Linked DNA regions of Canis lupus familiaris. The main gene of each other region encodes a partner of the protein of the gene in region 3 in a complex. Links are inferred from orthologs where the notes say so. Each region holds a gene or a part of one and is shown on either strand. Other genes may lie near its edges. The genes, in order: ZMPSTE24, BANF1 and LMNA.

Region 1 (3,642 bases), on a different chromosome or scaffold from region 3:
TCTTAAAAACAAAAAGTGTCTCTAATCCATTTAACTAGTAACAAAATGCATAAGGCATTTTAGAAAATACTTTCAGTTAAAAAAAAAAAGAATGTAAAGGTAGTAAATCTCAGTGCTTTGGGAAACTTTCTTAGTTTATATGGACAATGCTATGTAAATATGATCTATTCTTTTCTATTTTTCTTTTCCAACCCTTTCCCCCTTTGTAATGGAGAAACAGGATTCATTTAGTTTATCTTAAAATCTTTACAACCTGGGATCCCTGGGTGGCACAGCGGTTTGGCGCCTGCCTTTGGCCCAGGGTGCGATCCCGGAGACCCGGGATCGAGTCCCACATCGGGCTCCCGGTGCATGGAGCCTGCTTCTCCCTCTGCCTGTGTCTCTGCCTCTCTCTCTCTCTCTCTCTCTGTGACTATCATAAATAAATAAAAATTAAAAAAAAAAAGAAAAGAAAAAAAAAATCTTTACAACCTGTCTCCAGGAAAGAATCTTTCTGTATGGAAACATCTCAAAATCCCCAATATTATTTCTTGGCTTAATTTGACTTAATTTATTAAATATCATGACATGTTGCCATCATCAGATTTGTTAATATACAGTCTCATTAACCCATGCCTTACCACCTGCATGGAGTCCCGCTACTGAGCAATCTGACCTCACTTACCATAACACACCAAAAGGGCCTGAGGTGGGACCCTTAAGGCTATTCTGAAGCGGGTAGTCAGAGAACACAATCAGAGGAACAGTGTCATCATACTGTCTCCCATATTTAGCCATACATATACATACATACATACATACATACATACATACATACATATACTCAACTATCATTGTTTCATTCCCTCACATACACAAGATTTTCAGCCAAGCACTGGGGAATATGTGATCTAGAACATAGCATTCCAATAGTTAATCTCCATCTACCAAGTCTCTGAGGTACAGGTTAGATCAAGGTTTCCATCACTAAAGTCTAGTCCTCTACTCACCCCCCCACCCCCACCCCTGCTGGCAGCATGCAAGCATTTGTTCATTTGGGCTTGGGTTTTTCTGCTACTTTCTTAGACTGGCCAGCAAATGAAAGGATTAAATCATCTACTTGTTAAAAATATAGTTTTATTTCTTTTTTCACTATCCTAAAGGTTCTAGATTTGAAATGCAAGGGCATATGTGAGATAACTTTAACGATTATACATTACCTCATTGTAAGGTGAAAAAATAAACTGGAAGATGATCAATAATCCAATTAGAGTGGGTTGGCTGTTATAAAAACCAAACGCAGCAAAAAGTTCCTTTCGACCAATTAATACAGCAAACAAGAAGAAACACAGGAAAGAATTCATCTAGAAAGAAAGACACAAAATTCCTAAGTTATTACTAAGGTGATTTCACAATGGGATCAGAAGCACCAAAAAACTAGAATCAGACATCATGGTGTGATTCTAACTACGAATAGTTTTAGTGTAATCATAGAAAAAGTTATTTGGGTAATTTTACAGTTTTATCCTAGAAAGAAAAATAAAATTTCCCCAAATGTCTAAACTGTAGGTTTCTATATGGATAGGCAAGTTTAAGTGGAGCCTCCTATGACTGAGAGTCTGAAGTGGCCAATAGCAATGGAGTATTTTCTTTCTGTAAAAAGCTAAAAGGCTAGAATGGATTCTGGCTCTGTTTGCACTAAATTGTAATCAGACACAAGGCCTTCCACTCACCTTGATGTGGAAGCTCCAAAAAAACAAGACTCCCTACTTTTTAGAACCACTGGAGCTGTACTGAGTACTAAGGTCCAAAAAAAAAGTAGATGTACCTTTAACAATAAATGAGGGGAGGGAAATAAAAAAATAAAAAATCTGTACCAAAATATGAGTAAAAGGGGTACTGGGTGGTCAGGATCTTGGAGGCCAGAGGTACCCTATTCAAATGTACTGCTCTAAACCATCTGCCAGATGACTCAAAAGCTACCAGCCTAGAGTTGGGCTCAGCATAAGGTTCGCCAGCTGGCCTGGGTTGAAGCACAACCAGCTCTATCATTTAGTCCTTATAATTCAGTAGATTCAACATGACAAGCTCCAACAGAAAACTTCACTCACAGTGAAGGCCCCTAGAGTTAAAATAAGCTATGCATGCCATTTTTGTCAAGTAACTACTTGCCTTTTGAAAAACAACTTTTAGTTTGCTATTGGGCCCTACCAGAGACTGATTCCTGATTGTGGGACACTACAAACCTGCAATCTGAGCTGCCCTTCCTAAACTGACTGCCATGTTGATCCACCTAGCCAGAAAACTGGTAGGCCCTGAAGCACTCCAAATCAGATATAAGCGGCACATATGCAAGTGGGAATGAAGGATGTCATGAAGGGAGAAGTACATTAAATGAGCAAGTGGATCATACTCCTAGTATGTCAACTCCTGCCACGCTACCACCCCCCTCAATCAACCCTTACTCATGGGGAGCTCCCTATAATCATTTAATTGAGGAGGAAAAATGTGAGCCTGTTTTACAATTAACTTAGTACAACTATGCTGGCACTGGCTCAAAGTAGACTGTTGTGGCATTACAGAACCACTTGGGGCTGTACTTGGAAGACAACAATAAAGGAAATACTCTAAATGAGGGAAACTTTGGGTAGTATATTTCATTGCTCACTCAGCTTGGAAGGACAGAAGGCCTGAGCTAAGAATATACAATCACTGGCAGTGGGCAAATAATGGTTTGGCTGGATGATCAGGGAATTGGAATGAACTTAAGAATGGCTAACAAGATGTGGAAAATAGGGTATGTGGAAAAGCTTCCAAAATTAGCCCAGAGTATAATATTTTAGTCCAATGTGAATGTTCACTAAAAGAGGCCACAGCAAAGGAAGCTGTCAGTAAGGTGAAGATACCTACTCTGCGGATGTTAGCTTCTCTCCCCAGCTATTCTAGGACTTGGTCAAGGGGCTCTTGAACAAAGGCCAAGGTGCCAGGGATGGAGTCAGTGCATTAACCAACAACCCAGATATTCCCCCCACTGGCTTTTGCTGAGCACACAGTCTATTAGCCTATTACGCCATTGTAGGACATGTGCCTCCCTCAAACCTTGTTATGACCTTAGCACATTACCCATCTGACATGAAAACAAAACAAAACAAGACAAAACACCCACTTCAGACTCAGCTAAGGCCACATCTGCTCAGAACCAGTCAACAGAATATAGTGCTATTTCACCTGGAGCCTAACAACTGTGGTAACTGTTGGTTTAGAGAGCTGATTTAGACCCCAGAGGAGGAATGTTAAAGGAATTGTTATTTTCTTGTTTAGTTACTACAGTCCTCTTCAATAGATGTATAATGACTTCTAAATGAGAAAAAAGGTTTAAAAAGAAAGCATTTTGGGATCCCTGGGTGGCGCAGCGGTTTAGTGCCTGCCTTTGGCCCAGGGCGCGATCCTGGAGACCCGGGATCGAATCCCACGTCAGGCTCCCGGTGCATGGAGCTTGCTTCTCCCTCTGCCTGTGTCTCTGCCTCTCTCTCTCTCTCTGTGACTATCATAAATAAATAAAAATTAAAAAAAAAAAAAGAAAGCATTTTAGGGGCGCCTGATTGGCTCAGTCATTAAGCGTCTGCCTTAGGCTCAGGTCATGATCCCAGGGTCCTGGGATTG
Region 2 (3,829 bases), on a different chromosome or scaffold from region 3:
TGTGGACCTGGCTCGTACTAAGAGTTCAACAAAGACCAGGACAAAAACGTACCCAACTAACTCAGGCCCCTACAACTGTGATGTCTTATGTTTTTTCTGCCTCCCTAAGAGGACCAGCCAGACGACCAGAGCCCTGCCCACTTCTCCTAGAGGCCAGGAGAGTATATGATGATTGGCAGACAAACTCTAACCCACATTTGATCCACCCTCTTCCTGGTATTCCTGACTCCCACTGATTTTTCCACCAGGTGCTGCCTAGCCCAGCTGTTGACTCGGTTGGTATCTGGAATATCACAGCCCACCCAGATCCCAGGAAGGGATCAACCCACACTCTTTGCCAGATTACTAAGGAACACTCCAAGGCACCTGCCTGAGGCCCACATGGCTGCCCTCCGGAGTGGGAAGGAAGCTGGCAGTTTCGATCTGTACTGATAAAGGAGTGTGGCAGACCCGGTCAGTCCCTGGGGAAGTCCCAGCCCACCTGCTTTTGAACACATGAAGCCCAGTCATGAAGGCCACTGACTTTATTGATTTAAAAAACCTTACAAGGACAGTGACTGTTCTGCCAAAAAAGGAGCCAAATAGCATAAAACAGACCAGACTAGTGGGGGTGGGGGTGAGGGAAGGGCCAGGAACTCACTCGGTAAAGCTGATAATTGTTGACATGAAACTGGCAGGGGGAAGGAGTGGGGAGATGCATGCAAGAGTGAGAATTTCAAAAAAGTTGAAATGGTGAGAGGAAGAGAACTCCCAAAGACCTTGAAGTACATCAGAAGTGAGTACAACAATAGCAATCTCTTCCTTTGTAGAGGACAGGGGAGGAGTTCCCACGCGGCTGCAAACTCGGGAGACTCCATGCTGGGGCTTGGGACTGGGGGCTATCCAGAGAGCCTCACAAGAAGGCATCGCACCACTCTCGAAGGCACCCGAAGCAGTCCCGGGACTGCTTAGCATTGGCACCACATGTGTCCTTCAGCCATTCCCGGAAGAGATCTTCATCTTTCTTTAGCACCAGAAACTGGCCAAGGACCACATAGGCCTGCAAACGGGGAAAGGGCATGCTGCTAAGTTCCATGGGACCAAGAAAGAACAAAGCCACTTTTGTGGCATCCAAAGCACATGAGCCTAGGAAGTGGGCAAGCTGTGGCTATCTCCTCAGGCCACCCTCAACATCTACTCTCACTTTCCTCACCCACAAAGTGAGGCCACCCTCACCCCCATCCCCCAGGTGCATGCTGCCACCCACACCTTGTCAAAGCCCCTTTCCTCCAGCTTCTTGCCCAAGACTTCACCAATCCCAGCCAGGCTCCCCACTGGCTTTTCCCCCATGGGCTCCGCCACGAAGTCTCGGTGCTTTTGGGAGGTTGTCATCTTGATCAGCTTAATCTGGGAATCCCAAGAAAAGGTAAGTTAGGGCTGCAAACCAGGTACTCCCAAGGGCCCAGTGACAATGTTACTTATATTAAGTGAAAGCTAATCCAGCCATTACGGCGGCTCACTCAGATCTCCTCGGTTCATGGGTAAGAGAACTGAGGTCCAAGAAGAGCCTTTTTCCCGCTGGGCAAAAGAATGGTTCTCTGTGGGAACCGGGTTCTCGTCCAGCCCCAGGGGAAAAACTAGCCCGCCCTCACAGGTGGCGCACGCGGGGCAGCGGGAAGATTCCCAGTCGGTAGCCTGGGTCCTCCTTGAGGCTGTCACTCCCTTTGTGACCTTGGCGGGCTAAGAAGGGAGCAAATGAAGGGTCTCTCGGTCCCACGCGCCCGCACGCACCGCTCCCAGAGCGAGGGCACTAACCCAAAAGCGTGCACACGCTCCTGCGCCCCGCGGGCCCGCACTCCCCGCCCCCCGCCCGCCGGCCCCGCCCCCTCCACGCGCCGCCGCGCCGCGCCGCGCCCCGCCCTCTCCCCGCACGGCAGCCGGGCCGGCTCCGAGGGCGCTTCCTCTGGCGGGCTTCTCGGCTAAGGCCCCTCTCCTCCCCGCACCCCCTCCCGCGTCCAGCTCGGGCCCTGCTCCGCGGCGAACGCTCACCAGCAGCTCCGGCTCCCGTAACGGCTCCTACCGCCACCCGGCTGCTCCCACCGATATCTCAAACTCACTAGAACTTTCTTCCACTTCCGCTTCCGGGTCGTCTGTAGAGCCGCTTTTAAAAAAACTCCTCTGGGCACTTCTAGCCGCGTAGAGCCATAGAGAGAAGCGCTCCCGACCTCAGCGGCGCCCTTCCTAGGCACCGCTTGCGGGTTGCCTCGCGGGAAGCCCAGCTGCCTTATGTGGTCTCGCCTCTCGGGCAGCCTGTCCGGTCTCAGGGACCTGAGGCCTTGGAGAAAATTCCATTCCCCGCTGCGCGGCATCGGGAACTCAAGAACTTAACCTTGGCCGACCCGGAGGTGGGAAGAGTTAGAGAGACGGACCAGGCGGGGAGGGCGGCTGGTGAGCTTCCGCGATAGCCCCGGAAGTACGGTGTTCGGAAGGGTCCGACTCTAGAGCGCCTGTGATCACCCGGCTAGGAGGAGTCGGAAGCGCGGGCGACCTGAGTGTGCGTCTGCCTGCCGGCGGGCCCCTTCCCCGTGCCCTCGTTGGCTCAGCTACGAATTGAGTCGTGGGCGAGCCGCTCTCAGCGTCCAGTCTGGAGAACAAGGTCGTTCGGGCACCGCCCGTGGGAGACGAGGGCAGAGGGTAAGTGTCGGTCTCTGAGCGTCTTTCTTCCAGGATAGGGAAGGGGGTGGGCAGGGGACGGCAGCCAGAGGTCACACCTCGGAGTTTCCTTTGGGAACCGTCAGCCTTCATGGTGCCGGTCCTCGTCTTCTCGGTACCCACGTCAGAAACCTGGCAGTGGCCGCAGCCGAGCCGGCTTACCCGACTTTTGTTAACTCGTTCCTGGAGTGGACCATCGCGCTGTCTTCTCACTGGTTTTTGACCGTAGTGTGTTGATAAGCTGGGCATCTGTGTTACGTGGCTGTGCTACACATAGGATGTACGAATATGTTGAGGAATATACAGTTTATCTCACACTCCTTCCTGAGAGGTTTCCCCAATAACTTCTGTAGAACCTGGTATTCGGTTTCTGTGATTTTGCCAGTACTTGTGAGTTGTTTTTGTTTGCCATACACTGTTCTAAGTGCTCGGCTTGCATTATTTTATTCTACTAATTAGTGATTGGGTTTAACTATTATTTTTTCTCTGAAGCTAGTGAAGTTGAACAGCTAGGAAAGAGCCAAGGAAGGATTTGAATCCTAGTAATTAGATTTTATTTACTTACTTATTTTAAAGATTTTTATATATTTATTCATAAGAGAGAGAGAGGCAGAGGCAGAGACACAGGCAGAGGGAGAAGCAGGCTCCATGCAGGGATCCCGTCGTGGGATTCGATCCCAGGACTCCAGGATCACGCCCTGGGCCAAAGGCAGGCGCTAAACCGCTAAGCCACCCAGGGATCCCCCTAGTAATTAGGTTTTAGAGTTCATGTTCTTAACCAGGACACAGTCACTCCTTAGTAAAAAGGATCTCTCTATTTTCAGAACAATCCTGGGTTCTGAACTTGTCATCCAAGAAACTCAGGAGTTGACAGTCTCTGCGTCCCTCACTGCCCTGGGACAGGACCCAGCATGTCTCAGGCCACCAAGAGGAAGCATGTGGTGAAGGAGGTGCTGGGGGAGCACATGGTGCCCTCTGACCAGCAGCAGATTGTGAGGGTGAGTGGCATTGGGCACAAGCTGCTCTGCCTCCCCATCCCTCTACTCCTCTTGGGCCCTTGTGATGGGGGTAGAGTGTAGCACAGCTTACTGGGTATTTGAGCTGACTGATAAGGCTGATGAGTTCTTGGTCACTCTTG
Region 3 (4,240 bases):
GCTGTAGGCGTTTGCAACATAATTTAATTTTCTGGATTCTTTACCAGAGAATAAGCTGTGGGAGGCACAGGGGCAGGACATAAAAGCACGTGGGTTCTGGAGCCTCCGCCTGCCACCTCCTAGAAAGGATGAGATGGCCCGTGGGGCCAGGGCCAGGATTATGGGGGGCCAGTAGAAGACAAACCAGAGGAGTCCTTGGTAAGGGCTGAGGATAGAGGCTCCAGAGCCTGGGGTGGGGAAACCTGGGGATCTGGGTGATCCAGTGGCAAAGCAGACCTGGTCAGAGAGGGATGCAGAGATGAGTGCAGGGCTGGCCTTTGCAGCCAGGAAGGTTGTGGGGTCTTTGCTGTCCCAGCCCCCCTAGTACTGCCTTTCTGGTTGAAACCAGGACAGAGACCCACCACTGGCTGTCCAGCCCCTGCCATGCTCCCCCTTCCAGGCCCCTCTGGGAACCACAAGAATCTGGGACCTGGTGTCCTGGCAACGTGATGAATGCACGCACAGCTCTGGTATCTGTTTTAAATTATCCATTAAAATAAGTACAGTCCTGGAAAAAAAAAAAATAAGTACAGTCTTGGAGTTGGCAGGGTGGGATAGAAGGAGTAGAAAGGGGAGGAACCAAGGCAGCCTCTTTTTCCAGTTGCTTGAGTCTGAAGGAAGGGGGCAAGGGATGGGGTGAGTGCCTGGGTCCCACTCTTGGCTTTCTGTGGGGGCATGTAGCTTGGCACTTGGGCCTAAGACCCAGTGCTTGGTTTTGAAGGGCGAAGTTGGAACAGAAGACAGGAAAAGAGGGACCTCAAACTTCTGGTCCCTGCCCCAAAACCGAGGGCTAAAGGAACTCAGGACCCAGAAACTCCCTGCAGCCTGGCTCCCCAGGGAGCCCAGGCATTCCTTCCCCACCCCACCCTGGCACACAGAGATGCTGCTTTGAATGGGCTGCCCACATGTGGAGGGGGGCAGGGGTGACTCACTATTACTATGGGAAGGAGAGGGGGAGCCAGCGGTGGAAGGAGAGTGAGTCACCCCATGGGCACCAGCCTCAGCCCTCCCCCACCTTTCCTGGATCTGCCGGCCTGGCGCTTTCTCTCTTCCTCCTGCCCTTTGCCCACCCACCCGCACCCTTTGGCTCGGCCTTCTTCTACACAGGAAGGCCCGAGTCCGAGGGGACAAGCGTCGGGGCTGGACCGGGAGCCCGGAGCAGGCGGAATCCAGGAGGGAGAAGCCCCAGGCCCGGCGGGTGCGCAGGGCGGGGTGGAGCCCCACTCAAGCCGCCGCCCCGCGGGGCTCGCCCTTCCCCACCGCCCCCTCGCCTCCCGCTGCGGACGTGCGCGGCCCCTTTAAGAGCGGCGGCCCCTCCTCCCACTCCCTAGACCTATTAGAGCCGCTGCCCCGCGTCGGTGACTCAGAGTGTCCGCGGGAGCGCCGCAGCCACAGCCGCGCACCCAGATCCCGAGGTCCGACAGCGCCCGACCCAGACCCCTCGCCTGCCAGGAGCCCGCCGACAGCCCGCCGGCCCGCGCGCTCCCACCCCGAGCGGTCTCTGCCCTCTCCGGGACCTCTGCCCCGCGGGCAGCCCTGCCACCCTGCCGGCCATGGAGACCCCGTCCCAGCGGCGCGCCACCCGTAGCGGGGCGCAGGCCAGCTCCACCCCGCTGTCGCCCACCCGCATCACCCGGCTGCAGGAGAAGGAGGACCTGCAGGAGCTCAATGACCGCCTGGCGGTCTACATCGACCGTGTGCGCTCTCTGGAGACGGAGAACGCGGGGCTGCGCCTTCGCATCACCGAGTCGGAGGAGGTGGTCAGCCGCGAGGTGTCCGGGATCAAGGCCGCCTACGAGGCCGAGCTCGGGGATGCCCGTAAGACCCTCGACTCGGTGGCCAAGGAGCGCGCCCGCCTGCAGCTGGAGCTGAGCAAAGTGCGGGAGGAGTTCAAGGAGCTCAAAGCGCGGTGAGTGCGCCCAGGTGGTGGCGCGGGGTGGGACCGGAGAGGGTGGGCGGACAGTCGCCCTGGTCCCACAGCAGCCGGCCCATAACTCGGCCTTCCAGTCCCCTCCCTCCCCGGAACTGCCCCAGCGGGTGACTGGCAGTGCCAAGGGAAACTGTCAAGACAGGACTGAGAAGGGAGGGGTCTCTGGGAGAGGGTGGTGGATATAGGGAACGGTGGGGTCATCGGGGCCACGCAAGGACTGATGGTAGGCCCACAGTCTGTCTGGGTGGGGGCTGCCAGCCCTTTGGAGCTGAAGGCAGGGGCCTGGGCAGAGGACGGCTGGCCCTGCTAAGTTCAAGAAATCTGGACACTCAGGACACATTGAAATGGGTGAAATGGTCCTGTTAAAACTTTCTTGGCTGACTTGGCAGTGTGCCAACTTTGCCCAGACTGTCTCTGGACGCATAAGCACCCATGCTGGCGGGCGTTCAGTGGTGCTGGAGAGAGGTTACCAAGGCAGGGACGTGGAGGGGACCTCCTTGGCACAACTCTTTCCAGGATTCTAAGAGTTGGGAAGCTCTCCCTCACTACTTGCAGGTCTGGGACCTTTCCTGGGCTCTGACAGGCCCTCTAAACAGCTTGAGGAGCTCCGCTCCCCCGCAGCTCCCACAGCCCTTGGCCTTCTTGGCCCAGGAATGCAGGAGAGGGAGGGAGACCGAGGGCAGAGGCTCCCGGCTCAGGCTCAGGAAGTTGTGTTATACCCAGGTCTGGTGCACCCCCTTGGCCCTCTGCTTGGTGTCTTGGACATTGGGGGCTGCTTCTCCTGGCCTGTCTGCTTGGGGTGAACCACTTTCATTTCCTGGCCAAATCTGAATAATCTTTGCTGTGGCCCATCCACTCAGCCACTGAAGGTTTTTTGATCTTCGCCTTATGAAACTGCTGGAATAGGTGACATATTTGAAATCCAGCCGTTGGCCGCTTGAGGCCCCTCCTACCTCACCCATCCCAGCCCCACCCTACCCCACCCTACTTGACTCCACCCTCCTTTCTAAAAAGGCCTCTGGATCCTGGAAGTTCAGGCCCTCTTTTCCTGGCCCCTGAAAATTTGTTTTCCTCTTCTCTGTTACCTCTTTCTCTATGAACACCCAAGCCAGAGAGCACTAGGGTGTTTGAGATCCCTGGGACAGGAGGCCCCGTGGCTTGATGTCCCCTCATTCCCCCCCTTTCAATCTTCTTCTCCAAACTCTTGCTCTCCTGGGAGCCTCTATGTGTCCAGTGAGCTTTCTGCCCTTCACCGGCCAGGCCCCTGGCCCGGTGGGCGTGGGTACCCATCCCCTTGGGAAGAGTAGGTGGAGACAGTACACACAGACAGGCTGACTTTTTGGAGACACCATGGAAGGAGATCACTCCCGTCTTTTTGCAGTAGTGATAGGAACAACTGAGCTAGCAGGACAGACAGGAGGCAAGATGGGGGCGGGGGCAGAGAATCTATGTCAAATTAGTCTGCTCAGTGACCAAATCCCCCCACTGCTGATTCCTGTGACGAGCTTTCTCAGCAGGTCTTTCTTTGGGGAGGACATTGATCGGAAAACGGGATGAGTAGACTCTGCGATCTCTGGCTAGCCCCACCACGCCAGGTTGTCTGTCTCTGCCTCTGGCCTAGTGCAGCTGTCCAGGCCTGGGCCGCCAGGCGGGTATGTGCGCACGTGGGGCAGGGGCGGGGGTGGTGTGTGTGTGGACTGGTTATATTTAGCCATCTGCCTCTTTCTTCCCCTGTGATCCTGGCTGGGGAGGCTGGGCTTCTGGGAGAGGGGGTGGGTCTGCACACCTGGATCTCAGGCTGCTGGGAGGCAGGGTGGAGACAAAGGGGACTTCAACTGGGGTGTGGGTCCCCTTCCGTGTCTCCAGTGGGAGGCCCCAGGATGGGCTGCTGCTTTTTATGTCTGCTGTGCTCAAGGTGAAGCAGAGAAGAGGAAAATGAAGAACTTGGGAAAGGAAGAAAAGCATTGTCGTAACTCCTCGCACTAAAGCCTAGAGAGAAGGTGTCCTCTGGTTTAATGTTTAATTAGAGCTCAGAGTTCAGGGCTGGGCTTCTGGTTGGGATGCAGAACTGTCTATGAGATCCCTGTGGCAATCCCCGGCCCAGCCTGGTACCTTGACTACACCCAGGGCTTTCGGGCGCCCTCTCATTGGGCTGGGTTATAGGCTCCACGCAGAAACCCCCCCCCCCCCAGTACCCATACACACGTTCAGTCTATTCCAGAGTCTGAAGCATTTGGACCCTAAGTGTGAAAACAAGGAGCAGTAAACACC

The links.
Region 1: the proteins of LMNA (region 3) and ZMPSTE24 are in contact, whole or in part, in a crystal structure (PDB 2YPT), measured with the Homo sapiens proteins. The link is inferred for Canis lupus familiaris from reciprocal best matches to the Homo sapiens genes LMNA and ZMPSTE24. Residues at the interface, in NP_001393912.1 of Homo sapiens: Cys661, Ser662, Ile663, Met664; in NP_005848.2 of Homo sapiens: Ser264, Asn265, Ala266, Tyr267, Phe268, Val332, His335, His339, Glu415, Leu438, Asn439, Asn442, His459, Arg465.
Region 2: the proteins of LMNA (region 3) and BANF1 are in contact, whole or in part, in a crystal structure (PDB 6GHD), measured with the Homo sapiens proteins. The link is inferred for Canis lupus familiaris from reciprocal best matches to the Homo sapiens genes LMNA and BANF1. Residues at the interface, in NP_001393912.1 of Homo sapiens: Ser431, Gln432, His433, Ala434, Arg435, Met540, Lys542; in NP_001137457.1 of Homo sapiens: Val11, Ala12, Glu13, Pro14, Glu83, Asp86, Ala87, Phe88.

The regions. Positions count from the first base shown.
Region 1 is NC_049236.1:2,744,016-2,747,657, forward strand, and holds part of ZMPSTE24 (CAAX prenyl protease 1 homolog), read right to left. Parts: intron 3,113-3,642; exon of another isoform or gene 3,006-3,112; intron 1,344-3,005; coding exon 1,200-1,343; intron 1-1,199. UniProt on the Homo sapiens protein: Transmembrane metalloprotease whose catalytic activity is critical for processing lamin A/LMNA on the inner nuclear membrane and clearing clogged translocons on the endoplasmic reticulum.
Region 2 is NC_049239.1:51,771,611-51,775,439, forward strand, and holds BANF1 (barrier-to-autointegration factor), read right to left. Parts: upstream 2,312-3,829; 5' UTR 2,029-2,311; exon of another isoform or gene 1,998-2,028; intron 1,387-1,997; 5' UTR 1,372-1,386; coding exon 1,249-1,371; intron 1,040-1,248; coding exon 893-1,039; 3' UTR 510-892; downstream 1-509. Other genes in the region: probable RNA-binding protein EIF1AD, read left to right, coding at 3,603-3,689. UniProt on the Homo sapiens protein: Non-specific DNA-binding protein that plays key roles in mitotic nuclear reassembly, chromatin organization, DNA damage response, gene expression and intrinsic immunity against foreign DNA.
Region 3 is NC_049228.1:41,702,042-41,706,281, reverse strand, and holds the start of LMNA (lamin), read left to right. Parts: upstream 1-1,380; 5' UTR 1,381-1,592; coding exon 1,593-1,948; intron 1,949-4,240.